7 linked regions of the Macaca mulatta genome follow. The protein of the gene in region 7 interacts with the protein of the main gene of each other region in a pairwise test. Links are inferred from orthologs where the notes say so. Each region holds a gene or a part of one and is shown on either strand. Other genes may lie near its edges.

Evidence for each region.
Region 1: the proteins of ABI2 (region 7) and ARHGAP32 interact in binary tests that used the Homo sapiens proteins (3 or more experiments, as listed by UniProt). The link is inferred for Macaca mulatta from reciprocal best matches to the Homo sapiens genes ABI2 and ARHGAP32.
Region 2: the proteins of ABI2 (region 7) and VARS2 interact in binary tests that used the Homo sapiens proteins (3 or more experiments, as listed by UniProt). The link is inferred for Macaca mulatta from reciprocal best matches to the Homo sapiens genes ABI2 and VARS2.
Region 3: the proteins of ABI2 (region 7) and KRT20 interact in binary tests that used the Homo sapiens proteins (3 or more experiments, as listed by UniProt). The link is inferred for Macaca mulatta from reciprocal best matches to the Homo sapiens genes ABI2 and KRT20.
Region 4: the proteins of ABI2 (region 7) and TFIP11 interact in binary tests that used the Homo sapiens proteins (3 or more experiments, as listed by UniProt). The link is inferred for Macaca mulatta from reciprocal best matches to the Homo sapiens genes ABI2 and TFIP11.
Region 5: the proteins of ABI2 (region 7) and VASP interact in binary tests that used the Homo sapiens proteins (3 or more experiments, as listed by UniProt). The link is inferred for Macaca mulatta from reciprocal best matches to the Homo sapiens genes ABI2 and VASP.
Region 6: the proteins of ABI2 (region 7) and GCC1 interact in binary tests that used the Homo sapiens proteins (3 or more experiments, as listed by UniProt). The link is inferred for Macaca mulatta from reciprocal best matches to the Homo sapiens genes ABI2 and GCC1.

Annotation. Positions count from the first base shown.
Region 1 is NC_133419.1:129,329,624-129,333,123, forward strand, and holds part of ARHGAP32 (rho GTPase-activating protein 32), read right to left. Parts: coding exon 2,440-3,500; 3' UTR 1-2,439. UniProt on the Homo sapiens protein: GTPase-activating protein (GAP) promoting GTP hydrolysis on RHOA, CDC42 and RAC1 small GTPases. May be involved in the differentiation of neuronal cells during the formation of neurite extensions.
Region 2 is NC_133409.1:152,131,930-152,135,429, reverse strand, and holds part of VARS2 (valine--tRNA ligase, mitochondrial), read left to right. Parts: intron 1-306; coding exon 307-383; intron 384-471; coding exon 472-547; intron 548-831; coding exon 832-934; intron 935-1,167; coding exon 1,168-1,238; intron 1,239-1,358; coding exon 1,359-1,484; intron 1,485-1,691; coding exon 1,692-1,796; intron 1,797-1,927; coding exon 1,928-1,996; intron 1,997-2,116; coding exon 2,117-2,195; intron 2,196-2,322; coding exon 2,323-2,450; intron 2,451-2,574; coding exon 2,575-2,727; intron 2,728-3,500. UniProt on the Homo sapiens protein: Catalyzes the attachment of valine to tRNA(Val) in a two-step reaction: valine is first activated by ATP to form Val-AMP and then transferred to the acceptor end of tRNA(Val).
Region 3 is NC_133421.1:65,266,522-65,270,694, reverse strand, and holds the start of KRT20 (keratin, type I cytoskeletal 20), read left to right. Parts: upstream 1-1,373; 5' UTR 1,374-2,400; coding exon 2,401-2,790; intron 2,791-4,173. UniProt on the Homo sapiens protein: Plays a significant role in maintaining keratin filament organization in intestinal epithelia. When phosphorylated, plays a role in the secretion of mucin in the small intestine.
Region 4 is NC_133415.1:25,059,231-25,062,730, forward strand, and holds part of TFIP11 (tuftelin-interacting protein 11), read left to right. Parts: intron 1-1,858; coding exon 1,859-2,027; intron 2,028-2,437; coding exon 2,438-2,681; intron 2,682-3,500. UniProt on the Homo sapiens protein: Involved in pre-mRNA splicing, specifically in spliceosome disassembly during late-stage splicing events. Intron turnover seems to proceed through reactions in two lariat-intron associated complexes termed Intron Large (IL) and Intron Small (IS).
Region 5 is NC_133424.1:58,036,574-58,040,811, forward strand, and holds the start of VASP (vasodilator-stimulated phosphoprotein), read left to right. Parts: upstream 1-1,438; 5' UTR 1,439-1,731; coding exon 1,732-1,736; intron 1,737-4,238. UniProt on the Homo sapiens protein: Ena/VASP proteins are actin-associated proteins involved in a range of processes dependent on cytoskeleton remodeling and cell polarity such as axon guidance, lamellipodial and filopodial dynamics, platelet activation and cell migration.
Region 6 is NC_133408.1:167,434,214-167,438,510, forward strand, and holds the start of GCC1 (GRIP and coiled-coil domain-containing protein 1), read right to left. Parts: upstream 2,801-4,297; 5' UTR 2,386-2,800; coding exon 1,354-2,385; intron 477-1,353; coding exon 1-476. UniProt on the Homo sapiens protein: Probably involved in maintaining Golgi structure.
Region 7 is NC_133417.1:108,554,709-108,558,765, reverse strand, and holds the start of ABI2 (abl interactor 2), read right to left. Parts: upstream 2,801-4,057; 5' UTR 2,587-2,800; coding exon 2,470-2,586; intron 1-2,469. UniProt on the Homo sapiens protein: Regulator of actin cytoskeleton dynamics underlying cell motility and adhesion. Functions as a component of the WAVE complex, which activates actin nucleating machinery Arp2/3 to drive lamellipodia formation.

The sequences.
Region 1 (3,500 bases), on a different chromosome or scaffold from region 7:
TTAAGGCTGCTGCTAGCATGCATTAAATGAAGTAACTCTAGATTTGATCTAAAGTTTGTGTTTCACGCTTATAACAGTAATTGCAATCATCATTCTATATTCGAAATATTTACCTGATATTTCTAAACCCATAGGACATTTATGAATAAAGAAATTGCTTTGAGGAATTAACCCTACTATTTATAAAAAAGGCTTTAGTTTCAGGACTAAACAATGTGTGCGACAACAAATCCACAAATATTACAACTGGACCGGACTCCCTGGGTTACTTCCTTCAGGCTCTCAGTTACTGAAGCCATGTGTATCTCCTGGTCACAGCAGCCCCTCTTCCTAACCTCCATGCTGCTGGTGAGAACTTACAGGGCTGGTGTGGTCTCCAAGGGGCAATGGGTTGCCTATTTGACAAAAATACGATTAAGGTAAAAAAAATTAGTGCCACATATTCACCAAAGGTCAAACTCCTGTATGTAGCACCCAGGGTATTTTTGTGCCAAAGGGAAGTATCCTAACAAGTTTCCTAGCACTTTGACTACATACCAGTTGGGTCTGCACTTTTAATGTAGAGGCCTCAATTTCCAGACCTTTTCACATATGGGAGTTTCAAGGTTTCTACTACGGTTTTTACTGCATCCCTCCAGTGAATTCTAAGGGAACAAAAGAAAACCTTATAGAATATTCCCACATATCAATGTGTTGTTCTTAAAACATTTTATTTCTTTTTCTAAATATAAACCCTTAAAATGCACATTATTTTTTAAAATAAAAACTGGCATGAATCCTAATCTTTATACAATTTCACAGCAATAATAGCAGCATGATTTTAGCCTCTTAAAAGATTTCCTCCTCTGCTCTAAATAAAAATTTCAAGTTCTAAAAAGCCAGAGCAGCAACCATCCAATAAATGGAATGCAATTCTCCTAGTGTCTTCTACAGACTGAGCATTTAAAATATGTGAATGTATAAAACTTGAGTATTATTAAGAGTTATGGAATGAAATGACAATCTAAACTCATTTTGTAAACATAGGACTGCCTTGCTAGTCTGATGTATTTTGTGGAGTGGAGGGAGCTGAGAACATAGAATGGAGCTGGGCTAGAGAGTTCCTACTCTAATAAGGAATGCAACTTTCAAAAGCTGCAGGTGTTAAACATGTTTAACATGTCTCCAGAGTTATAAAGAGCTATACCTGAAATGCTGGTGTAGATGGTAATTACAACACGACTGTGACCACACAAGTACAGAGTAAGCAAATGACAGTAATGGCTTAGGACAGCAATGATAACTGCCCAGAACTCCACTGATGAAATGGGGCTGTGTACTAAGCCGTTATTGCAGGAACTTGCAGTCTAATAATAGATAATTTGTAGCTACTTAAATTCCCAGGGATCCTGTACTCAGGTTTAGAAACAGAAACAAACACGGAAATTTATATTCATAATAAATTATGTGTGTCTATCCAGTCAAACCATGCTGGGCTTTTTTAATGAAAGAAAGCTGATAATTTAGGAAAACCAATGGTATGACATGTTTTACTAGAATTACAATTCACCAAACATTATTGAGGGGTGGGGTAAGAAGAAAACCTGAAGGCAGGCAATGCATTAAAAGCATCAATAAGAGTTTTCTGGTGCTAACAAAGTTCACTGACAATAAGAACTTTACTATCTTCCACCTAAGAAGTTTCCTTAAATACTAACTTTTAAAAATCCCTTCTGTCATGATATGAGCCCATTCATTGAGCCGTGAGGAACAAGGATGGAAAATAAGAATAGAAAAAGTATGGTTCAGCCTGAGTCTAAGTGGTCTGGTGTTTTATGATGACTCTACCAAATGTTTAATTTAAAGTCTTAATTTCTTATTTTTAATTATAATGTTGCTGTCTGACTGACTGATCTTGAAGGATCAGGGATTTTTCGACGACTCTAACTGAACACAAGCTCCTTCTCAGATGGGGCGAGTGAAGTGAGAAGAGTGTGTCAATCTGGGCAAGTTGTGCAGCTACTGATGGAGAAGCAGGAAGACAACAGGGAATGCAGAAGGCTACCAGGACATCGGTGTGAGCTGCTCTCAATTACGCAGCAAATACTAAGAAGAAAGGACAACGCTGAATTCGAATTCAGTGAAAGGCAGTCCTCAGGCTCTTTCAAGCTAGCCCTAGATCTGTGTCCTGCGACAGGTTTCTCTACTGGGTTTCAGCACGGGGTTGTACCATCCTTCGGATCTTTTCTAAAGACAAAAATGACAAAGTCTATAGATGGAAGAGGTGGTAATGAAGCAGGGAAGGGGAAAAAGATGGTGATGTGTTTACTTTTATTATCTTTTTTTAAATGTGGCCAGGGGTTTTATAGTATTTTTTGTTTTTTAATCTTTTTGGTTATTGAAAAAAATAGAACAGTCCACTGTCCAGCAGAGGCTGCTTCAACTCTATTGCTCCAGGGCTCATTCTGCATGGATCTGTGTTTCAGGATGCTGCAAGGACCACTCTGTAGGCAGGAAGGCCCCTTGACCCAAAGCTGTAGCATAGGTCCTGCTCTGCGGATGGGGAAAGCCGGGGGGCACATACGTCCCCATGCCGCCCCCTGCAAAGCCTCCCCGCTGGTGCTGAGGCAGGGGGTGGTAATCTTCCAGGTTATCATACTGAGACACAACAGCCACGCTGCTCTGGCGCTTGCCGTGCGGTTGGTATTGGTACAGCACACTGGGGTCCCTCTCCACGTTCTGGGTGTGATGGAGTTTGAGGCTATGACTCCTCTCTGGTTTAGGGGGTGGGACCATTGACTGAGTGAGGTGTTCTTCCTCCTTGTAGCAGTCTCTGGAGTGTTTCTCTGGGGCAGAAGGCTGCCTAGCCCAAGGTCGCTCCATCTCTTTGGAGAGCCTCACCTCTTTGTGGTTCAGTCTTAAAGATTCTTGCCCGGATGCAGCATATTTCACTCCAGAGTTATGGTAGCTGACTGGCTCAGAAGTGTCTGGAATCCCTTTGGACCCATAATCTAACTGGCCAGCTCCCTGGGGATAAGGGGGCCCATTCTTTGACTCACAGAACTGCCTATGGCTTGCTTCCTGGTGCGCCCTGTGCTCAGGGAGACTGCAGCCCATGTCAGGAAGCTTCCTGCTCCTCAGGCTGCTCTGCTTCTGCGGCAGGGATGGCTTCTCCGGCTGCGTGCTACCATGGCCTCCGTGGTGGTGGGCTCTGTCCATCTCTGCCTCGGGATGCCTCCTGTAGAAGCGGTCCTCTCCCTCGGGACTGATGGCCTTGGCTGCATGGCGGCCTTCCTTTCCTTCTGCCACTGACAGAAGTCCAGTTTTCCCAGGATCTGATTTACTACGCAGATGGATGACATAGATCCCACCCAAGTCGTCCTGCACGGCCGGGGTCATGTTATCATACTGGGACATGACAGGCCCTTTCACCTTCTGCCGAGCACGGCTCTCTCTCCGGATGGACTGCATGCGGTATTTTTCCATGTCCTCAAGATCCCATGAGGTGTAGGTGTGCTTCA
Region 2 (3,500 bases), on a different chromosome or scaffold from region 7:
GCAGTATAGGAAGGACTGGGGCCAGGGGTTCGGGGAGCTCCCTGAGAATTGGAATGAAGAAATGGGAAGCAGGAGACCTCCTGCCCCAAAGACCTCTCCAGCTGTGGTAACTGAGAGGATGTGTGGGATGGAGGCTGGGCGGCTCAGCAAGGGCTGCCTCATATCCTTACTTAAGCCCAGAATCTTGGCAAGAGGCTTGGGAGGTCCTTCTGAGTTTTAAAATGACCTCAGAGGCCACTCGTCCTATCTGTGGAGGTGAGGCCATGCAGGAAGGGAAACATTGTCTAAAGGCCCTTTTCCCTCCAGGCTGTGGAGTCGGGGGCCCTGGAGCTCAGTCCCTCCTTCCACCAGAAGAACTGGCAGCACTGGTTTTCCCATATTGGGTAAGGGTAGGGTAAGGGGAGCTCTCGTGGAGATGGGGCGGGGGGACCGACTGGTTATTCTAAGACTTCATGGATGTCCTCCCGGCAGGGACTGGTGTGTCTCCCGGCAGCTGTGGTGGGGCCATCAGATTCCAGCCTACCTGGTTGTAGAGGACCACGCGCAGGTGGGTAGGAAGAAGCACCCGGAGGGCCGGGTGTGGCGCAAAGCACCTAGCCCAGGAGTCAGAGCTCCGCAGTGCCAGGCCCTGCTCCTGCCTGGTAACGTGCTTCATGCTGTAGTCACGTACCCTTCTGTGCGATCAAAGCTCCCTGAAGTGGCGTTTCTTTATCTCACCACTGGAGGAACTTGGCCACTCTAAGACCACATGAGAGGATGTGAAAACAAAGGGACATTTGCACCTGTCAGCTGTTCTTCCTCACTCTCCCCGACTCCTTCCTACTTTTGCAGGGAGAAGAGGACTGTTGGGTGGTTGGGCGGTCAGAGGCTGAGGCCAGAGAGGTAGCAGCAGAACTGACAGGGAGGCCAGGGGCAGAGCTGGCCCTGGAGAGGGGTGAGTGCCTGAGCTGGGGAGGGATGCACAGGGGAGTGGGGTACTGGGCATCTGGGCCTTTGAGGGGAGCTGATCCTGAGATGGAGAAGGTAGGGTCAGGAAAGTTGGGAATGGAGCCAAAGGGGACAACCCTGGTCTCTGGGGGTGGAGGTTGGCCTAGAATGGTGGCAGCGGTGGTCTGAGGTCCTAGAAGCCAAGGTTCCAATTGTCCCCATTCTTTTTCTGTTTCCCAGACCCTGATGTCCTGGACACTTGGTTCTCTTCTGCCCTGTTCCCCTTTTCTGCCCTGGGCTGGCCCCAAGAGGTGAGGTGGGTTGAGAGGGCGAAAGTGAAGGGGAAACGATAAGGAAGGGACGGCTGGGCCCCCACAGAGGCTTGAGGGGGGCCCGGGACCTGGGCCTCTTACTGCTCCTCTTCCCCTTAGACCCCAGACCTTGCTCGTTTCTACCCGCTGTCACTTTTGGAAACGGGCAGTGACCTTCTGCTGTTCTGGGTGGGCCGCATGGTCATGTTGGGGACCCAGCTCACAGGGCGGCTGCCCTTCAGCAAGGTAACAGCCCTTCAGTGCCTGGCCGCTTTCTGTGACCCCAGTGTTCCCCAAACCTTGTCCTCCCTTCTGACCCCTAATGTCCTTTCCACGTTCCCGATTCCTTTTTCCCAATTCACTTGCCACCCTAGCCCCAAAAGTATGGAGGCCAGAGGGCCAGAGATCTCAAGGGAAGGAAACCCCCCTCTGCTGACCCCTCCCCGCCCCCAGGTGCTTCTTCATCCCATGGTTCGGGACAGGCAGGGCCGGAAGATGAGCAAGTCCCTGGGGAATGTGCTGGACCCAAGACACATCATCAGTGGGGCGGAGATGCAGGTGAGGACAAAGCACCCACTGGAGGGACAGGGTTTGTAGGAGAGAGGAAGGGAGGCTGAGGGAGGAGTGAGGCCAGCAAGTAGAGGCAGGGCCTTTGACCTGGGCTGTAAATTACCCCCTTCCATCCCCAGGTGCTGCAGGAAAAGCTGAGAAGTGGAAATTTGGACCCCGCGGAGCTGGCCATTGTGGCTGCAGCACAGGTGAGTCATCGCTGCCTGCCCCCTCCCAGCTCTAGCTCACCGCCTCTGGCTTCCTCTGCAACCCGGGTCCTGGCCCTGCAGCCACAAAGGCATCTGCCACCCTTCTTCCTCTGGTTGCAGAAAAAGGACTTTCCTCATGGGATCCCTGAGTGTGGGACAGATGCCCTGAGATTCACACTCTGCTCCCATGGAGTTCAGGGTAAGCCTGGGTGAGGGGTCTCGGGGTGAGCAGAGAGCAGCAGGCGCCTGTGCAGGGGCAAGGCAGGGGCAGGACTTCCAGTGCTGCCGCCACCTACATGCAGACTACCTTGATTCTCCCCTTCCAGGGGGCGACTTGCGCCTGTCAGTCTCTGAGGTCCAGAGCTGCCGACATTTCTGCAACAAGATCTGGAATGCTCTGCGCTTTATCCTCAATGCCTTAGGGGAGAAATTTGTGCCACAGCCTGCTAAGGAGGTAAGAGAAAGCAGAGGTGCTTGGGAGTAGGGTAGTCAGGTGTCAGAGGGCCAAGGTGGCATCTGGAAGGAGGCAGGGGAGGGGAGTCAGGCCGTCCTGGGCCTGAAGCCCTCTTTGCCTGTAGCTGTCTCCCTCCTGCCACATGGACGCCTGGATCCTGAGCCGCCTTGCCCTGACCGCCCGGGAGTGTGAGCGGGGCTTCCTCACCCGAGAGCTCTCGCTGGTCACTCACTCCCTGCACCACTTCTGGCTCCACAACCTCTGTGACGTCTACCTGGTGAGCGAGGCTGGGGGAGGCTTGGCATTCCCATGCCTGCTTCTAATTCCTCTGGAAATCCGATTCCAAGGCAGAGAGCTCTGGAGTTAATAATTCCCCAGTTATCCCCTCAAGTTAGGAAAGGAGAGGAGAGGAGATGAGGGAGTCTCAGTTCCCCTCTTCCTGGGACTGGTTTCGCAGTGCAGCCCAGGCACTGTTGCCTGCCTGTCACCTGGGGAGAAGAGGAGGAGGGAGACTTCTAGAAATGTCTCACAAGTCAGTGTCAGAAGGCAGAGGGGAATTTTTTCAGTCCCTGTAGTTGCTGAGTTTGGCCCATGGGCAGGCTGCGTGCTGAGAGAGGCCTGGGAGGGACTAACAGTGGTCTTTAGACCAAGGGTTCTCACGCTGTCCTACGTCCAAAGCACCTGGAGGGCTTGTGCCTCCAAAGCACATGGATCCTCCCGCCACCCCAGAGTGGCTCCTTCAGCAGGTTGGGGTGGGGGTGGGTGGGTGTCATGAATATTCATTTCTTGTCCCAAGTGGTGCTGCTGCTGCTGGCTGTGGACCACTGCCCTAGCTCAGCCTTTTAAAAACCTCTGTTCCGCCGGGCGCGGTGGCTCACGCCTGTAATCCCAGCACTTTGGGAGGCCGAGACGGGCGGATCACAAGGTCAGGAGACCGAGACCATCCTGGCGAACCCGGTGAAACCCCGTCTCTACTAAAAAATACAAAAAACTAGCCGGGTGAGGTGGCGGGCGCCTGTAGTCCCAGCTACTCGGGAGGCTGAGGCAGGA
Region 3 (4,173 bases), on a different chromosome or scaffold from region 7:
CATCCTGTTTAACAACCACACTTATGTTCTTTTCTAATTATAAAGCTAACTATTGACTTAATAATGCTTCTGGCCAGGCACGGTGGCTCACGCCTGTAATCCCAGCACTTTGGGAGGCCAAGGTGGGCAGATCATGAGGTCAAGAGATCGAGACCATCCTGGCTAACACGGTGAAACCCCGTCTCTACTGAAAATACAAAAAAATTAGCTGGGTGAGGTGGCGGGCCCCTGTAATCCCAGCTACTCGGGAGGCTGAGGCAGGAGAATGGCGTGAACCCAGGAGGCAGAGCTTGCAGTGAGCCGAGATCGCAGCCACTGCACTCCAGCCTGGGCGACAGATAGAGACTGCATCTCAAAAATCAATCAATAAATAAATAATGCTTCTACACACTTTGATCATGTGTTAGCATATGAAACTCTTGGCTGAGACCAACTTACTATAAAACGTGTGTAATTTAAATAGTATAATTTTCCAATGACTTTAATCTAACAATCTCCTCCTACCCCATTAATCAACACAAAAAGCAATTCATCTTTGAATATATGTGTAAAGAACATAGTTCATGTGTTTATAAAAAGTTCTTCTCTGCTACAGAGTTTAGCTGTGACATCTATTAACAAAGTAATTTATAACTCTAATAAGTTAGCAAGGTCTTCTTGCTACCAGTCCAGTCATTGGTGGTGAGTGCTCAGTACTGGCTGATGAATACATGAATGGATAAAAATGTAAGAGCTGTCCACACATATACCATAAAATGCATAAAGTAGATCCCGTTTTATCTCAATTTTTATTTCTGTGATATAACTGAGATAAAATCAAACACAATGTATTATTTTAAAGTATACTGTTCATAAGAGAGAAATAATGTGATCTGACCTTATTTTAGAAGAAAGTTGTCTGTAAAAAAATTTAAACTCAAAAGTAAAAAAGCCACTGGTTTCTAAAAGCTCAAAAAAAAATTTTTAAGTGATTGGCTTTCAGAACAACAGCAACAACAAATAAGCCTCTAAAATAAGACAAGTAAATTCCAATTTTTTATTTTTGCATTTACTTGCTTGCTTGCTTTAATTATATACAAATCTCAATTCCATTAAAGTATCAGGATGACAATTAATTAGATGTTTTTAGTGACTTTTCCAATCCCTTCTAATTAACTTGATTAAGGAAGTGATTTACTTGCTTCATGGGAGGTGTGAATTCTCAGCCAGGGGGTTTGAATGAAGGGAAGCAAGTGACTCAGGCATTTATTGGGTGCTTACAATCAGATTCCCACTGGTGAGATCACGCCCATGTGTCTGGAGGTCCACACGCAAGCAGCTGCCTCCAGCCCAACCCTGGATGCTGAGTGTAGTCCCAAGGCCCCGCCTGCCCCACTTCCTATACATACAGCCACTCCTGCTGTGATTGTGGGGACATACAAGGAAGATCAGGCTTCCGTGGAAGCTTCTGCAATTAAAATCCACTGGGGATTCTAGAAGGAGCACCTGTAAGTAGATTCCGGATGGATGGGGCAGAGTCTGTCTCATGGTGGGTGTTAAGCTGGCCTTATACAAAAGAGGAGACCCATCCTGGTACCATGCCAGGTGCAAAGCACTGTGCGATTTATTGTAAGTGTCTTGGTAACAGGGCTTGAAGCCAGGCAGTGACTAGAAACCTAAAATGCATTATTTAGTCATAGAACATTAGAAATAGAAAGAAAATAACCTCCCAAATCATCTAGTCCATCATTCAGCTAAATTCATTTAATTCATATCCCCAAACTACATCTCCAAATGTACAATGGTTTCATTCCTGGTTTAGGGATTTGAGGTTTTGTGTCTGTACAAAATATATTAATAGTCTTATAAAATAATATGTCCAAAACAGAATAAACTTAAAAGCCAAACACAAGTAAAGCATGAAACAGAGGTTCTGAAGAGCAACTCCTCAATACAAATAAACCATTGTCCTTTATCTCCATTGTGACTTTCAGTTATGTAGGCACATCTGCCTTTTTACATACCTAAATTATACATGAGGATTATAAATATTCTTTATGTGTATGTTAGGATGAAAAAAACCTGCCAAGGCAGGTGCACGGGCTAAAAGAACACACCTTCCTGTTTCCTTTTGTTACCTGTTTAATTAAAAAAAAAAAAAGTTGCCCCTGATAAAAGCCTCCAATAAATGCCTCTAGTGCTATTTTCTGGAATTGAATTAAACATATTAACATATTGTTATACAAAGGGGGGGGCGTGGAAGCAAGGCAAGGTGGACCGTGGTGCCAATCCTAGTGACATGTCAGCAGAGGAGGAGTTTCTTGCCTGTGGACTTCATAAAAGGCTAGCTCAACACCCTCCATGAGACACACTCTGCCCCAACCATCCTGAAGCTACAGGTGCTCCCTCCTGGAATCTGCAATGGATTTCAGTCGCAGAAGCTTCCACAGAAGCCTCAGCAACTCCTTGCAGGCCTCTGTAGTCAGTACAGTGGGCACGCAGCGCCTCGGGATGACACCCAGCGTTTATGGGGGTGCTGGAGGCCGAGGCATCCGCATCTCCAACTCCAGACACACGGTGAACTATGGGAGCGACCTCACCGGCGGCGGGGACCTGTTTGTTGGCAATGAGAAAATGGCCATGCAGAACCTAAATGACCGTCTAGCGAGCTACCTAGAAAAGGTGCGGACCCTGGAGCAGTCCAACTCCAGACTTGAAGTGCAGATCAAGCAGTGGTACGAAACCAACGCCCCGAGGGCTGGTCGTGACTACAGCGCGTATTACAAACAAATTGAAGAGCTGCGAAATCAGGTGAGAGATGACGCCTGTGTTTCCTAGTCTGTGTTTAACTGAAAGTTAAATCAAGAGGTTATCTATGTTAGGCAGGTCCAAATGGACGTTGTAAAGACAATTAGGCTAAAATGTTACATCTACAAAAATTCTTTCATCTACCTTTAGACTGTATAATAGGATGACCTTAAATCATGCTATTTTTAATGTTTAATATAATTATATACAAAATATGAACATTTTATCCTCCGGAATAAAATAAATCTTTGTCACAGCTTACCACATCAGGGCTAAATGTATAGTGAGCAATCTTTCTGAAAAGAGCTAAAAATTAATTATGTGATAAATCTCTCTTAGTTTTTCATCTAGTCCTCAAGTTTTGAAACCCCAGTCAATTCAAAGACTTTTCTCCTTTTATTTAAGTAAATATTATAAGGTATGACCATTAGAATACTGTACTGCAGATTTAAATAACAAAGTGATTCTGGGTGGAAACAGTGTGGCAGGAATATGGGTCTTAATGATGCCTGGATTTTTAAGTGCCCTGTTTAATAACATGACCATCAGCATCAAGCAGTTCAGAAACTAATTCTACAGTAATAAAATATTCTATTGCCCCCAATTCATGTTTATTGCAATCATATCACAACCTCCTCCTATGTCATCAAAAAAAGGGTGGAGCTCTGTATTTTATCAGTTGCATGGAATAAAAGCAGAAGACTTTGCTCCTAATTGAAAATTTCATATATGACACAGAGCACTTGCTTCGAATTAAAGCTCTTATCTAATCAAGAGAAGTGTTCACTGTCATTTCTGTGTTAAGATTCATTCATATTCCTTTAGAGTAAAGCCCATTTACTTACCAGCAAGTCTATTTTTCTTGAGTTGTGCTAAACATCAGAGCAATTTGATTCGGACTCTATGGGAAGTTGCTTTGGAATTTTAGAAACTATGGGCGTGTGAAGCAATGGTATTTAAATTGCCCTTCCGGAATAAAGTTCCTCCTTCTTAGGCTCTCACTAAAAATGTTCGAACCACACCTGTCTCATGTTTCTGACTCTACTTTGGCTCATCTCAAATACACAGGCACAGGCCATCCGTCCCATTGAGCTGGACAGTCCCAACCGTAGGGAGCAGCCCTCTCCAAAACTGGATCCATTGAAAGAGAAATGTCATTGCAACATCCTCTGCAAGTAGATTTTTCATCTATATGCATCCATCATGCATTTAGTTCTTTTATGTATCATGTTCTTTCATTCAGCCAATACTGAATGACACTACCTAGGTGCTGGGCACCATGCTAGGCACTGAGGAATAGTATGGTGGACACAATGTGATTTATGAGGAAACAGGGATGGACAGAGGGACCAGCACACAGAGGGATAATGAGAGCACAGGCAGATC
Region 4 (3,500 bases), on a different chromosome or scaffold from region 7:
ATGCTGACACCGCTTTAGGAATTTAAATTCATTTGGCCATGAATTTATTTTATTTTTTATTTTATTTTTTTTGAAATGTTTTATTTCCACAGGGTTTTGGGGAACAAGTAGTATTTGGTTACATGAGTAAGTTCTTTGGTGGTGATTCGTGAGATTTTGGTGTACCCATCTCCTGAGCAGTATACATTGAACCCAATTTGTAGTCTTTTTTTTGTGAGACGGAGTTTTACTCTTTCGCCACGCTAGAGTGCAGTGGTGTGATCTCAGCTCACTGCAACCTCCAGCTGCCTGGTTCAAGCAATTCTGCCTCAGCCTCCCGAGTAGCTGGGATCACAGGCATGCACCACCACACCCAGCTAATGTTTGTATTTTTAGTAGAGACAGGGTTTCACCATGTTGGCCAGGATGATCTCCATCCCCTGATCTCGTGATCCACCCGCCTTGGCCTCCCAAAGTGCTGGGATTACAGGCGTGAGCCACCGTGCCTGGCTTAATTTGTAGTCTTTTATCCCTCACCCCGTTCACCCTTTCCCCAAGTCCCCAAAGTCCATTGTGTCATTCTTACGCCTTTGCATCCTCATAGCTTAGCTTCCGCTTATGAGTGAAAACACAAGATGTTTGGTTTTCCATTCTTGAGTTACTTCACTTAGAATAGTAGTCTCCAATTCCAACCAGGTTGCTGCGAATGCCATTAATTCATTCCTTTTTATGGCTGAGTCATATTCCATTATATATATATGTACCAGTTTCTTTATCTACTTGTTGATTGGTGGGCATTTGGGTTGGTTCCACATTTTTGCAGTTGTGAATTGTGCTACTGTAAACTTGTGTGAGCAAATATCTTTTTCATAAAATGATTTCTTTTGTGTTTTTTTTTTGAGATGAAGTCTCGCTTTGTTGCCAGGCTGGAGTACAGTGGCGTGATCTTGGCTCACTGCAACCTCTGCCTCCGGGGTTCAAGCAATTCTCCTGCCTCAGCCTCCCAAGTAGCTGGGACTACGGGCATGCACCACCACGCCCAGCTAACTTTTGTATTTTTAGTAGGCACGGGGTTTCACCATGATGGCCAGGATAGTCTCAATCTCTTGACCTCATGATCCGCCTGCCTTGGCCTCCCAAAGTGCTGGGTTTACAGGCGTGAGCCACCGCACCCAGCCATGACTTCTTTTCTTCTGGGTAGATACCCAGTAGTGGGATTGCTGGATCAAATGGTGGTTGTACTTTTAGTTTTCTAAGGAATCTCCACACTGTTTTCCATAGTGGTTGTACAATTACATTTGGCCATGAATTCAGCTGACACTTGTCAAATGTCTGTTGAATATCATGCTTGTGCTAGGTGCTGGGCTTACCCTAGTACAGCAGACAGCCTCTGTCTTTAGTACAGCAGAAAAGGCAGATGGGAAATAAGGTAGTGAACAAATAAAGGCAGGATGCACACCAGGTACAGTGATAGAAAACTGCAGGAGCGACCTCCTTGGAATGGGGGTTAGGACAGAGGTCTTAGAGGTGACATTGAAACTGTGATCAGAGGGTGAGAGATGTCAGCTCATGAATAGAAGCCTATAGGTGGGAAAGCACTTGATACCTAGGAAGAGACCCTTGTGACCCTAAAGCAGCTCTGCCAGGTGGGCGGGCACTGCCTACGAGACCAAGGCCTCAGTTCGAGAGGAGAGTCACGAGAACAAGGAAGAAGCAGGCTCAGGTCTGGCCAGCATGGTGACTGGCCTGATGGTTTCCTCTGATCGGATTTCCATGCTGTTGCATTTTTATTTCTGATTCTAGAGAGGTGGGCGGTGGTGGTGTTCTTTGAAACCAATCAGTGTAATTAACCAGCCTGTCCTCTGCCTTTCTCCCATAGGTTGATATGGGAAGTCTGGATGCCTTTTGTTCGAAATATTGTCACTCAGTGGCAGCCAAGGAACTGTGACCCGATGGTGGACTTTTTGGATAGTTGGGTGCACATCATTCCTGTGTGGATCTTAGATAACATACTGGACCAACTCATCTTCCCCAAGCTGCAAAAGGAGGTGGGGTGAGAGTCACAGGAACAACTGTCATCACTAACCACAGGGACTTGTTCAGTCTATGTCTTCATTATCTCAGTGCTGTTAAAACGCCTGGAATTAACAGAATTTGTCAACACAACTGTTGACCTAGAGTGTTAATTCCAGCCTTTTTCTCAGCACTTTTCCCCCCAAGCCACCCTCAGGAGGGAATTCATTTTCTTGATTTCTTCACTAAAATTAGAATTATGCTATTTCTGAGAGGTAATCAAATGAATGGGCATATTTGTTTGGCGATGTACAAAGGACCATGGGCCTTGGAGAGCATGGGGCCTCCTCCAGGGGCAGCTCTTGCCTTTAACCACACGGGTGTTATGTGACTGCCCAATAGGCGACATGAACTGTTTCTTCTGTTTCTTCTCCCCACATTGCAGGTGGAAAACTGGAACCCGCTCACAGACACTGTTCCCATCCACTCTTGGATCCACCCATGGTTGCCCCTTATGCAGGCACGGCTGGAGCCGCTCTATTCCCCCATCCGTAGCAAGCTGTCCAGTGCCCTGCAGAAGTGGCACCCCAGTGACTCCTCTGCCAAGCTTATCCTCCAGCCCTGGAAGGATGTCTTCACTCCTGGCTCCTGGGAAGCATTCATGGTCAAAAACATAGTGCCCAAGCTGGGTAAGGATATGGGGAAAATGCAGTCCAGGCCCAGCAGCTTTGGTGCCCTGGTTTCTGTGGTCAGTGGTGATTTAAAGCATAGCCTTTGTATTCATGAAAGTGCTTAGTACACAATATTCCTTGCTGTTCAGAGGCTGAACATAAATGTAACTTGGGTCCTTTCCGCTGTTTGTTTACAACAGCGACTAATAGTTGACAGTAACAACATCGGACTCTGTGCCTTGTGGTTTTCCTGATTGGCTTTGGCTTCTGGTAACAGGACAGCCATTGGAGTTCTGAAATTTTTGTGGTATTTTATTCTAAATTATTAGGGAGTTATTTCTGGTTTAGCAAAAAAAACACACATATATATATATAATTTTTTTTAAGAATTGCTATGTCAGGAGCTTAAATTTGACCTTTAAAGCAGATTAAAGCCTGAGCAACATGGTTAAACCCCGTCTCTACCAAAAATACAAAAACTAGCCAGGTGTGGTGGCATGTGCCTGTGGTCCCAGCTACTAGGGAGGATGGCTTGAACCTGGGAGGCAGAGGTTGCAGTGAGCTGAGATCTGCCATTGCACTCCAGCCTGGGCAACGGTGAGACCCTGTCTCAAAAAAAAAAAAAAAAAAAAAACCGCCAGGAGCCGTGACTCATGCCTGTAATCCCAGCACTTTGGGAGGCTGAGGTGGCAGATCACCTGAGATCAGGAGTTTGAGACCAGCCTGGGCAACATGGCAAAACCCTGTCTCTAATAAAAACACAAAAATTAGCCGGCCGCGGTGGTGCACACCTGTACTCCCAGCTACTTAGGAGGCTGAGGCACAAGAGTCACTTGA
Region 5 (4,238 bases), on a different chromosome or scaffold from region 7:
CCAGTGCCCTCCAGCCTGGGCGACAGAGGGAGACTGTATCTCAAAAAAAAAAAAAAAAGAAAGAAAAAAGAAATTAAGTCTACCCCTTCTCCCAGACAACTCAGCCTCAGGAGACACACTGAGAAACAATGATAACCTCTGAGGATCAGGGTTCAAGATCTCCCAGAGTGGGGTGGAGAAGGGGAGGGTAATTAATGTCAGAGCTTGGCCTGTAAGGAGGAAGTGCTCTCCAGGTAAAGGAGGTCAGGAAAACATCCGGACATGGGACTCGGCTTGGAAATACGCTGGAAAAGTGGATTCTCTCACCTAGTCAGCTGGCCCTGAGAATTGTTGGTTTTACACTCAGATCTTGGTGGCTTTCCGGGTTCTGGGGGCTCAGGCAAGAGGGTCATAGGCCAGATTCATTCCCTGTCTCCAGGCCTCAGTTTACCCATGTGTAAACGTGAAACTGATTTCCCAGGGCCTCACCCGGGCCCTCACCCGGGCCAGGTGGCGCTCTACCCAAGGGGCGCGACCACATCAGTGACGTCACTCGGGGCGTGGCCGGCAAGACACGCTGCGGAAGCCTCGGAGGGTGTCTGGGCTCAGCCTGGAGCCGGCGTGTGGGGGCGGGGGCTCCGGGGAGGGTCTCCTCACCTCCGGGCCCTCCTGAGGGCTGGGATGATCCTGCTGTCCTCCGCAGGCGAAACTGAGTCAGAGCGGGGCGTACGTGGGTCGGAGGCTTTACATACCCAAGAAGCCGGCGCCTCCTGCCCACCTCGGGCGAATGCCAGGCCCCCAACTCCGGCACTCCTCGCCAGTCCCCACCTCCACCCCCACCCCACCCCCGACCCTGCGGCTGTGAGTCAGCGGCCGACCGCGCCCCCTTGGCCCACTTCCTCCTCACCTTCCCGGGGCGGGCGGGGTGGGGTGAGAGGGGTGGGGCCCTACTCCCCCCCACCTCCCCTCCCGCGCGGGTGGGGGGCTCGCCCCCTTAGTAACCCCTCCGAAATTGACAGAAGAGAGACGCTGGGGAGGGGCGGGGTTCCGAAGATGGAATTTCAGGGAGAAAATCTGAGACCACTTGCTTAACTAACTGGAGGGTCCTCTTCGACCCCCAAAATTGAGCGGAGTACGAGATGGAGAAGTCGATGGGGAAAGAAATCGTGCCCCTTCCGAGACGCTCCTGAGAATTCCCACAGTGGAAGCGAACTAGGGAGCAAGGGAGGTCGCCTTCCCCTTCACCAAGCTTGCCCCTCCATGTGGTGGTGACTCCCAGGGTGCACCCCTGGACGATAACGTTGGGGAGAGCAGCAAGATCGCGGAAGCAGAGGGTGCCGAGTTGCCCTTTTAAGCGCCCTCCACCCCCTCGCCTGGAGGCGCGCGCGGCCCCTTTAAGGCGCGGGGCATTGTGGGTGCGGGGAGTGGAATTTTGGAACGAAATGTAACGAAGAGAAGTACAGTAGTAAGAGTAACAGTGTAGCCGCCGCCGGCAAGGGGGGCGCGTCGGGGAGCAGACGCCGCATCCCCTTTCTGCCGCAGGGACCTCTCATCAGATCGCCTGAGGGAAGCGGCGCCCGGAGACCCGCCCCGGCCCGGTCCACGTTCTACCCAGGAAGCCGGACTCTATGGGGCGGGACCCTGGGGGAGCCTGAGTCGAGCCCGGAGCCAGCCCCGAACCCCTGAACCTCCAGCCAGGGGCGCCCCGGGAGCAGCCAGTCCGTGGGCGCGCCGCCCGCCCGCAGATCAGCCATGAGGTGAGCCGGACCTGCCCCCCGACCCGTCCCCGCCCGGGCGGGCTCCGCGCCCCGCCTTTGTCCCCCTCCCCCCAAGCTCGCTCCGGGCTGGAATTTGGGGACAGATCCTTGGGAGCCTCGGATTTGGGCTGAATCCCCTAGGACAAGCCCCAAAACCGTCGATCACTTCTCCACGACTGACTTCCCAAGCTCGGGGGGTGGTGGCGGTGAGGTTCCCCTGGGAGCCCTCAAGATTTGGGGACGCTCGGAGGACTCCCGAATTGTTAAGACTTTTTTTCAGAGGACCTCAAAGTTGGCAGCGACTCCCCGCAGGGATGCCAGGATTGAGGCAGGGCTCAGACTTTCCTCCCCCTCCCCCCAAACTTCAGCTCGAGGTCGGGGAAGGATTGTGGGGGACTGGTTTGGGAGACCCTGGGACTTGGAAGAGAGACTGAGACTCAGACCCTTGGTGTGCAGGGACCCCGTTTACGTGGTGCTGGAAAAAGTCTCCCCAAGTGAGACCGCGCTCCTGAACTTCGGGGGTACTTCTTAATCCCCTAAATTTTGGGGGGCACTTAGGTCTTCCTGTGGAAGAGGCTGGTATGAACCGATCCAGGGACCCGGACGCAGCCTCCGGAGTCTGGTGGGATTCCCCTCCCCCGTCGCTCCGCACGCAATCTGCTTAACAGGCAGTGCCTAGGACAGAGCGGGCGCTCGGAGCAGAGGGCGGCTCCCTGCCCCGGGCCATAAGGGCGGCCCGGCTCCCCCACCTGCGCGGCCCTGGGGAGGGAGGGGACGCAGCAGCTGGGGGAAGGGGGCCTTTGTCTTCCTGACTCACCTGTCGAGACAGCTGGTGTGGGGGGCGGGCACCGAGCGCTGTGGGCCGGCTGCCTTCCCCACCACGGCGCCTCCCCCTTTGCTCGCCGCCCCCCCCATCCATCCGGAGCCTTGGGGTTGGAGGAAGGGGAGCTGGAAAGCTTCAAGGTCATAGCCCTCTTCCCTAGGGACCCAGGCTTCCCAGATAATTCCAGCTATCTTCCCAGGAATTTAATCCTGGGGGCGGCGGCCCAAGGGACCCAGGGATTTGGTCTGGCCGGGGCCTCCCCCGAACTCCTGGACTCACCTGAGGGCGGGGCCAGTGTGGGCAGGGGGACCCAACCATCCTCCCATTCTCCCCTCCCCTGGCCCCCCATAATCTCTCCCATGGGGCCAGAGCCTGACAATACTATCTCCCTTCCTCCACTCTCTCTGGGACTTCCTGCCCCAAAGCCCCCAGCCTTAGCAGGGAGGCCCCTGGGGACGGCTGGGGATTAACCCCGTGGTGCCCACATCCCCTGCATTTCCTGAACCCCTGCCCTTTGACATCGGAGTGGAGTGGCGTTCCTTTTTATGACCACTAGAGAATTCCCCTCCCGCGTTTGTTCCTTCTGATGTGAAAGGCATGGCTGGAAAATTTGGAGCAAGGAGGACACCCACAGATACCCTCAAGACTTCCTGCCTATCCTATCCGCTCCCCATTATAGCAACATCCCTTCCAAGTCCGCCCTGGAGAGGGGTCAGTTTAGGGAGCGTCGCTCTCTTCCTTCGCCCTCTTCCTCCGGGACTCTTCTCTCCCCTTGCCCCCCAGCCCCGCCCCTCCACCCCCCTCGCGTTTCCGGTCCCAGGCTCAGTGGAAGGCGGATGGCGGATGTCCGAGTTAGTGCTGCCTCACTCACTGCAACCGTAAAAGGGCAGGAGTGGTGTCTGGGCCGGCCCCCTGCCCTCCCCACCACCACCACCACCACCACCAGCAGCCCTGGAAGCCCTGGCCCTCCCACAGGGCCCACCTCTTGCTGGGGCGGTGATCAAGCATCCCACCTTGTGGGGGTGCTGGGGTGGGGTGCAGTGCAGAAGTGACCAGATGCCTGTCCCACCAGAAGGCCACTCCCACCTTTCCAGGGGTCTCCCCTGCAGGTGGTCACACCCGACTTACTGGGCTGTGCCTCTTCTCCAAGGACAGCCAGGATTCAAAACCCATGCCCCTATTACCCAGCTGGGGAAACTGAGGCTCAAAGAGAAAAAGACATGGCCAAGATCCCTCAGAAATTCCTAGGCAATGTTGGAGGGGTGGAGGAACCTAGGATCCTCTGATTTCTGGCTGGTTTGGCTGGGGGACAGTCCTGGGGGCAGTTGGAAGAGAGGATGTTAAGATGGAAAATTACAAGATATAGTTCTTTTTCTCCCAATTTGACAAATATTTGTTGAGTGTCGGCTGTGTCCCGGACTGGAGCTGGGGTGCTGGGAAGACAGAGAAGCGAGGCAGAGGTCTAGAATCTCAGGGCAGAAGGGACTTGGGGAGAATTGGGGTCTATTTCTTTCTTCCAATAATAGCTATTTTTATTTTTTTTTAAATAAGAGACCATTTGATCAAGCATCTATTTTATGTGGGGCATTTTTGTGCCTGACAGCAATTCTGGGTTGTTTTTTTTTTTTTTTTTTTGCTCTTGTTGCCCAGGCTGGAGTGAAATGGCGCGATCTTGGCTC
Region 6 (4,297 bases), on a different chromosome or scaffold from region 7:
AGGACGACCTGGGCCCTCATCTTGTACCTCTCAAACTCTTCCTTCAGCTGTTTCAGCTCCTGTTGGTAATAGAGTGCAGTAGCCTTCTCCCCATCAGCAGCCTCCGAGCTAGGCATTATCTCCAGGTCACAGAGCTTCTCCACATCCAGGGTCACCTGGCTTTTCCTGGCTGCAACCTGCAGCAACCTCTTCAGCCTCTCCATCTTATCCTTCAGGACATTGACATCCAGACTGGATTCCTCTCCATGGCTGTCTAAAGGGGACCTGCTGGAGGCTGCTAGAGCCAGTGTCTTGTTCTCCAGGTCCAGCTGCAGAATGCGCTCCTTCAGCTTTTGAATGGCCAGCTGGTCCTTCTGCTTGGCTTTCTCATAGGTGCCTAGCAGCTCAGACACCTCGGATATTTGATTTTCCAGGGCTGCCACCCTCTGTTCTTCCACCTGAGATTGCTGACGGAGTTGATCCTCTGCAAGAGCTGTCTGGAAAACAAGGGAACAGACAAAAATGCATCCACAAAAGCCCCACAGCAAACTTCGAGAAACCAGTTCCTGGTTTCGAAGGAGAGGGGAGCAAAAGGGTCACAGGTTTGGGATGGCCTGGCAAGAATGTGAACTAGGGATTTTTCGGTTGCTTCAGGAGCTAACAAAAGTTCCTATTACCTGCTTGGGTTCTGCAAAACACATATACCGAACAATATTAAGCACCTTGGTATATCTGCTATTGTTCTGCTTTCCACCTAACTCACATGTAATGTGTGTTACTGTTGTTTTTCTGGTGCTTCCTCAAATCCTATTAAGAAATCATACAACATTCTTTTCCTTATCCAATATTCCTGGAAGTTCAAAACTGAGCCGGATTTCCCTCTCCACACTGAAAGGAGGCACCCTTTCAATACCTGTTCTGGTATAGCACTTCTCCAAAACAGGTAAATCTTGAGTAAAGGCAATGACAAGAGGTTACTTCTGAGAAAATCCCCTTTGCCTTCAGCCACCCTCCCTAGAAGCACATACCAAGAGAACATTTGGACACACTACCTTTTACTGGACACATTACCTTTTACTGTACAGATGCTGCTATACTGCTTCATAGACCACAGCTGGTAAGATGCCAATGCCCAGAAGTGCAGAGCTGTCTGGCTTCAACCCAGCCTCCACTGAGAAGCTCCACATCCTCCTGGAAGCACACACGTCAACACCACATAGAACAGGACTTCCCAGGTTCTCTAGTGGAACTTCTCAGGCAGCATCAAAAATGACACTGTAGACACTTAGCTCTAACTAGCAAAGGAGGAAAAAAACCCTAATAGTTCTCACTTCAGGTCAATGACTGATGTTTGAAAAAGATGTGGATAATTACCTTTCTCATTTCCTGCTGTAACTGAGCCTGGAAATGGCTCTTAAGGCGGGCAGCCTCTTCCTGAAGTTCTTGCAGCCGGGGGTCTGGCTGATTCTTCTCATCTCGAATGACCTGCAGTTCACTTTTCAGCTCCTCCACCTCACGGGTCAGCTGCTTGGTCTGCAGTTCAAATCCTTCCATCTGTTCAGCTGCATATGCTCGTCCTGCCAGGGCTTCTCGGGTCTCTTCTAACCTAAGCTCCAAGTCCTGGCGCTGGGTCCTCTCCTCCTGCAGCAGCTTCTGGAGCTCACGCAGCATCAAGGCATGGTCACTCTGCTCTTGGGCCCGATCATGCTGCTGTGTGATAAGTCGGGCTTTGGTTTCTGCTATTTGCTCCTGCAGCCCCTTCAATTCTCCCTCCAGGCGGGCCCTCTCCTCCTCCGCCTTGTTACTGGCATCCTCTAAGTCCTGTTTCATCTTCTTCTTGTCAGCCACGTAAGAAGCCTCCATGCGGGACTTCTCCTGAGTGACTGTGGCCAAAGAACTAGTCAAAGTAGCCAACTGAGTCTTCAGTTGGTGCAGTCTTTTGTCCACCTCCCCAACTGCAAATGGCCCATCCCCACTGCTACTGCTAACGCCACTTTCGGACCCACTGGCCTCTTCGGACTTTGGAGGTGGTGGTCCCCGGGCCGGTCTGTCATCTTCTACCCCAAACTCACCCTTGGTGCTGGTGAGACTGGCCGCAGTATCCAAGCTAGTGGCGGTCCCAGTGCTATCCTCGCTGTGAGTGGAGCACCGGTCATCCACAGAGTCAGGAAATGTGAGGCCTGGAAGCTGGACACCTACGAGGCCCACATCTGCCTCGTGGGATACCGACAGCACCTTGATGCTGGCCTCTAGCGCCTCTTTCTCCTTCAGTAGGCTTTTATAGGCACGGACCACATCCTTGAGCCGTGCCTGATACTGGAGAAGCTGCTTCTTCTGCGTCTCTATAGTCTCCAGCAAGTCTTTCTTGCTCGGGCCGCCTCCGAAATTCATCCCAAACTTCTCCATGGAGGTTCTGAACGGATTGCCCCACGTCAGCTTTCCGGCAGAACGGGAGAGGGCCGCGAAGACGCAGGGGTGGGCTTAAAGAAACAGCTAGCGGGCTCTCCGGCGGCGGGCCGCACACCTACTCCACCCAGTTATCCCGGACCTAATGCGGATCGGCGGGAAGGACTGGAGAAAGCGGCCGCCGGGTCCCAGGCCCAGAGGGCTGGGGCGGATTCTATCCCGGAGGCGGAGCGACACTGGCACCAGAGGCGCGCGCACTGCCAGGGCTCGTCAGCGCTGGCCGAAATGCCGCTCCGCACTCTCCGCTCGTCTGGGTCACAACAGCCCGGGCCGGCCCCCTCGGCCCACGTCGGCCAGAGGCTTACGCTGACCCATCACGACTTCCTAACTACATCTGCCGACAACGGCGCTTCCGTGTCCGCTGGAAGTGACGTCAGCGATGCGCCGCAGGCTCCGCCCCCAGTGGGCGCGAGGTAGGCGGGGCCACATCGGCCCGCTGAGAATGTGCAGTGGGGCCGCGAGCGGCAAACAACAGGTTTGGGAAGGGTGAAGCCAGCAAAGTCGAAGACACCAGAGTGGTACTGGTTTTGTGAGGGCGCCCAAGCTTGACCTCGGGCTACGATCAGCGAGCGACAGAGGGCAACGTCGCACTGCATTCTTAACAAACACCCAGGTGAACCACACATCCAACGATTTGGGAGCTCAGGACCCATATCCCTAAAAGGCAACAATTAAGACTCCCATTTAGACCACGAAAACTGCACTCCTCTCTAGCACAGTGCTTGGTACCTAGTAGGCATACAGCGTAATAGTACCCTTCCTTAGTTCTGCCGAGTTGATTCAACAAATATTTATGGAGGGCACTCTATAGCCATGTCTATTCTGAGTGCCAGCTATATACCAGGAGCTCACAAGAGTTTTGCTATTTAGTCTTTACAATAATTCTTGTAAGCACTATACTCATTAGCAATATTTTACAGATATGAAAACATGAGGCAGAAAGGTTATACGTAACATGCCCAAGGTCACACAGCTAGTAAGTTTAGGAGTTCTATCCTAATCAGTCTGATTCTCAACATATCACGTGCTGTGCTAGATGGTAACACCATTAAGAGACACAACCTTGCCCTCAGGGAGCTCACAATCTAGTGAGGAACCAGATATACAAATATGTCCTGCTATCACACCAGTATGTCTGAGTATATTCAAAGTGGCATGAAAGTTAAGAGGAAAGAGGCCTGTCTAGGTGAGGCATAGAAGGCTCTTGGGAATAATACTTCGGGATTTTAAGAATGAGTCCTGATTGTCCACCTAACCAGAGATCAGGGAAACTAGCATTCCAGGTAGGTGCAAAAAATGCAAAGACCTGTAGGGTATCAGAGTTTGACTCACCTAGAAAGCATTCAGTAGCTTAGGGTATGTGAAGGAGATGACAACAGAGGGGCTGGCACAATAGGTAGGGGCTCAACTTACAGCATTTAAATTTTATCTTGGGTTATAGTAAGGCCCTAAATGGATTTTAATCTGAACAGTGGGATGTCATCAAGACTTGTATGACATGTTGGAGGGAACAAGGGGCAAGGAGACCTCTGAGGAGACTCAGTCATGGGGGAAGAGAAGGTAGTGATAACAGAGATGGAAACAAAGAGGCTGATAAAAGAGCTAAATGTAGAATTGATCTAACTTGGTGAACACTAGTTCTGTTATTATATTGGAACTCTCTAAAATGTACTCTTCAGCCTCATAAAAGCCTTCTTAGTGATGCAAATCTATGACTGAAGGAAAAAGGAAAGTCATGCACTCACTCCTATCTGTTTCCCGAAGTCTGTCCTTGGTATAGACTTTGCAGGTCAGGATGGGGCAGGACCTGGAGGTCTGTTCAGACCCCGTTTCTCAGTGGCCCAAATAACAT
Region 7 (4,057 bases):
AATCTAAGTTCATTTCTATTAAATTAATATTAATATTTATGTTTTAAATTATAAAATGTCACCACACTAAATTTTGAGTCCCATTGCTAAAACAGATACTGAGAGTAGTGACATTTTTCTCTTTTCAACTGCAGGAAATGTATATAATATTTAAAAAGACAACTGCTGCTCCCTTTAACCTTTCAGCTTTAATAATCCTTATCCTTTTACCTTTATATAGCAATTATAACTTAAGACGAACTTGTCCCTTCAAATTACAACAAAAAACCATCTTGCAAAAGAGAGAGAAATCTGCTTATTTTTTATTTCTTACTGGTAATAATTGCAATCCACTTTTCCACCCTCAATTTCTCTTCTGACCTGCAACTCTTTCCCCATAATATGCTGCACAAGGCAATGGAATTACCACTTCAGTCCTTTAGGTTTTGCCTCTACTAGAGTTTGTGAATTCCCTCAGAACAGCATTGCTTCCTCCAGTCCTCCTTGGCACCAGCAGTGCACTACAGAGCGTAAATTAACTACATGGTATTAATTTCCTCCAAGATCAGCCTCTCCTACTAACTAGACTATCAAACTCTGTAGACACTAGGTATGTACCATCCACCCCTCACACAGTTCTAGGCCATAAAAGACTTTCAATTTTAGAGAAACATTGAGCAACCGAACCTTTTTTTTTTTTTTTTTTTTTTGAGATGTAGTTTTACTCTTGTCGCCCAGGCCTGAACCTCTGAATCTTTTCTACCCCACTCATATCAGCAAAGTACCTTACAAGTGGACATTTGTATGTTTTTGTATTAACCTTGCCTACATTCCTTTCCTAGTAGCCATACTCAACTGCCTCTTGAGGGAACAGGTTTATACTGTGGTTCATTTTCAAATACAAATGTTGTCTACAAGATAATAGTATGTCTAATCAAACAAAATCTCACTTCCGTGATCAACAATGTGGCCATTACAAAACTTATGAACCTATAAAATTGTAACACCAGTTTCTTAAAATTTACACTAAAACATGAAAATGCTTTCCTATACAGCTAACGTTAAGAAAGGTGCCTCACGCCTATAATCCCAGCACTTTGGAAGGCCGAGGTGGGTGGATCACTTGAGGTCAGGAGTTCGAGACCAGTCTGGCCAACATGGTGAAACCCCATCTTTACTAAAAATACAAAAATTAGCCGGCTCTGGTGGCGGGCGTCTGTAGTCCCAGCTACTCGGGAAGCTGAAGCACGAGAATTTGCGCAAACCTAGGAGGCCGAGGTTTCAGTGAGTCGAGATTGGGCCACCGCACTCCAACCTGAGCTACAGATCGAGATTGTGTCTCAAAAATAAAAGAAAAAAGAAAGATCCCTGGAGAGATGGAGGTGGGAGCAGGGGGGGGGGAAAAAAAAGGACTGTGAAGAAACAGTTCAACATACTGCTTCCATTTCCACCTTTATCCCAAGAGAATTTAAATAGGAAAGAAAAAAAAATGGAGGCAGAATCCATAATTCAAAATAACCGTTAACAAAAAAGCAAAAGATGCTGGATTTTGCAAACTGCATTTTAACCTGCTATCCTTTCAAGTAATGTTTAAAGAAGGATTTTTCTTTAATCCACAGAATATTTTGCTTCATCCAGGAGCAGCTGGATCTCGTATCATCCAGTATCCCCCGCCTCCACACACACGCCGCTACCACTATAAGCCCCTGTGCCAAACGATCCATCACGGTAAAAAATAATAATTAAAAAAAAATTTTAAAAACAGGAGGTTCATCTTCCCGATTCTAAGAAACAGTCATAGTCCGTCCTCTTCCCACCCCCAGGAAAATTGCCTATTCTAACGGGACTAGGAGGGAGGGGGGAGTCAGCTCACCATCCTTCTCCACAGGGAGAAAAATGGCATTAACTTCCAACAAGAGACTGCTGCTCTTCTACCGTATCCCCTTTAGAACATAAAATATTAAGAAAGGGTTTCTGAAGCATTCACAGGAACAGAAAACTGAAGCCTGAAGCACTTCACTCTGCAGCAAGATAGCCCCTTAAAAATCGTCCAGAATGTGGGGGATGGAAGTAACCCGTCAATACAAGCGACACCCCTACCCTAAGAGGGAGCAGGATTCCGTCAAACAGAAAATGCCACTCTCCGCCCCCTCTGCCATCCGGAACGCTGACCGGCGCGGAGTGCGGGGGCGGCCGAGGGCAGCAGCGGCGAGGAGGCGGGACGCGACACACGCACCGCGCCGAGGACTGCTTCACGGCTTTTAAAAAGGTTTTAAAAATGCAGTTTCTCCAGCCGGAGGATTCCCACCCATTCACCAGCCCCAGCCCTCACCCAGCTCCCCACCCCCATCGGGGACTCCGCCGGGCCGTGTCCCCGCGGCGGCCTCGGCCCCACACCCCGAGGCGCGCGGCCCCCCATGGGGGGGTCCCCTACGCGTTCCTCACCGCCCCCTGAGGCCCGACGCGCCCCAGCGGGGGATGCTCTCGCACCTGGATGTAGTTGTTCTCGCAGTAATCGGCCACCCGTTCCAGATTCGTGTAGCTGTCGAAGAGGGCCCGGCGGCCCCCCGGGATTTCCTCTTCCAGCAGCATCTGCAACTCCGCCATCTTCACATCCTCCTCCTCCTCCTCCTCCTCACACAGCTCGCAGAGGGAACGGCGGCCGCAGCGCCAGAGAAACCCAGGACCGGGAGAGGAGGAGCGGTGGCGACGGCGGCGGTAACTCGGGAGGAGCGAGAAACAGCCCCAGCGCGCGACAGGGGAGGGGGCGACGGGGGCGGGGCGCGAGCCGACGGACTGCGAGGACGGTCACCGCGGCGACGGCCGGCCGGGCGCGCGCACGCGCGCTCCCCTCCCTCCGCCCCCGGGAGCCCGAAAAAGATTCCCACCCTCGCCCGCGCCGCCGGCCCCTCCCCCACTTCCGGCGTCTCCTAGCGACGGCGGGGGTAGGAGCGGGATGCGCACGGGAGGTGGTGGTGCTGTTAACCCTTCCGCCGCCCGCCCACCGCTGGAGCAACTCGAGAAGCCCCCACCTCCCGGCGTCCTTTGTTAGTCCGGCGGGAACGCACCACCCTGCTCTGCTGGCTTCCCGCTGGCTTCCTCCGGGACTCATCTCGGCTCTGTCCCCATGGAGGTTATCGGCCTGGGGAACTTCTCGAGTCTTTTCTGCCTCTGCCGCTGACGGGAGGCCGAAGGAGGGCACAGCCTCCACTCTTGGGATCCTCCTCTGTGAAAGATCACACTTCATCAGGGCAGGAATAAAACTCACAAACTTCCACGCAGTTTTCAATGCCACCTGACTTCATTTTTCTTAAATTTGACCTCATCCTCTTTATTGCAGTGAATTGCAGTTTCCTAACCCCAGCTTTCCTGCGCTCCTGCCTCTTTGCACTTCCCCCACTAACGCCGTTCTCCCCTGCCAGGTTAGCCCCTTTCTCTTGTGGTTTGCGGACCCCTGGGCCTCAGCTTTTTATGTTTGCCATTTCTATGAATCGCTTCCTCACGATCTTTTCTGTCATTTCTCTAATGCTATCAACTTCGCTGTCCTTTTTCCTATTCATGGATTCGGTATTTAAAATTTTGAAAACGATTTTGCTAGTAGTAATTGCCTTCTTCACAGGGCTGTTACATAGATAAAATCAACGTTTACGTGAAAACACCTTGAAGAAACATCAAGTGCTACAAAAATTCAAGGCAGATTCTTGAATTTTGTTCTTGCAGAGTTATAATTGTTTTTATTCTCCAGATACTGTGTCTTGTTTTCCTAAATCCGACTACCCCACACAGTGTAATCTGGAAAAACTAAAACTCCGGACAATTGCTGAGATATGAAGCCATGACCTTTATTTGTGCTGTGGAAAATCAAAGTTGACTCCAGTCTGTACCATCTTAGACTTGTGTAGTTAGAACAAGATCCATTGTTTCAACACTGTTCTTAATCTGGTGATCTCTTGGCCCTCCTACAGTGAATTTTTTTTCACTCAGATGATGAGGAAACATACTTTCCAAAAAAAGTCACTTTAGCCCGGGCGCGGTGGCTCACGCCTGTAATCCCAGCACTTTGGGAGGTCGAGGCGGG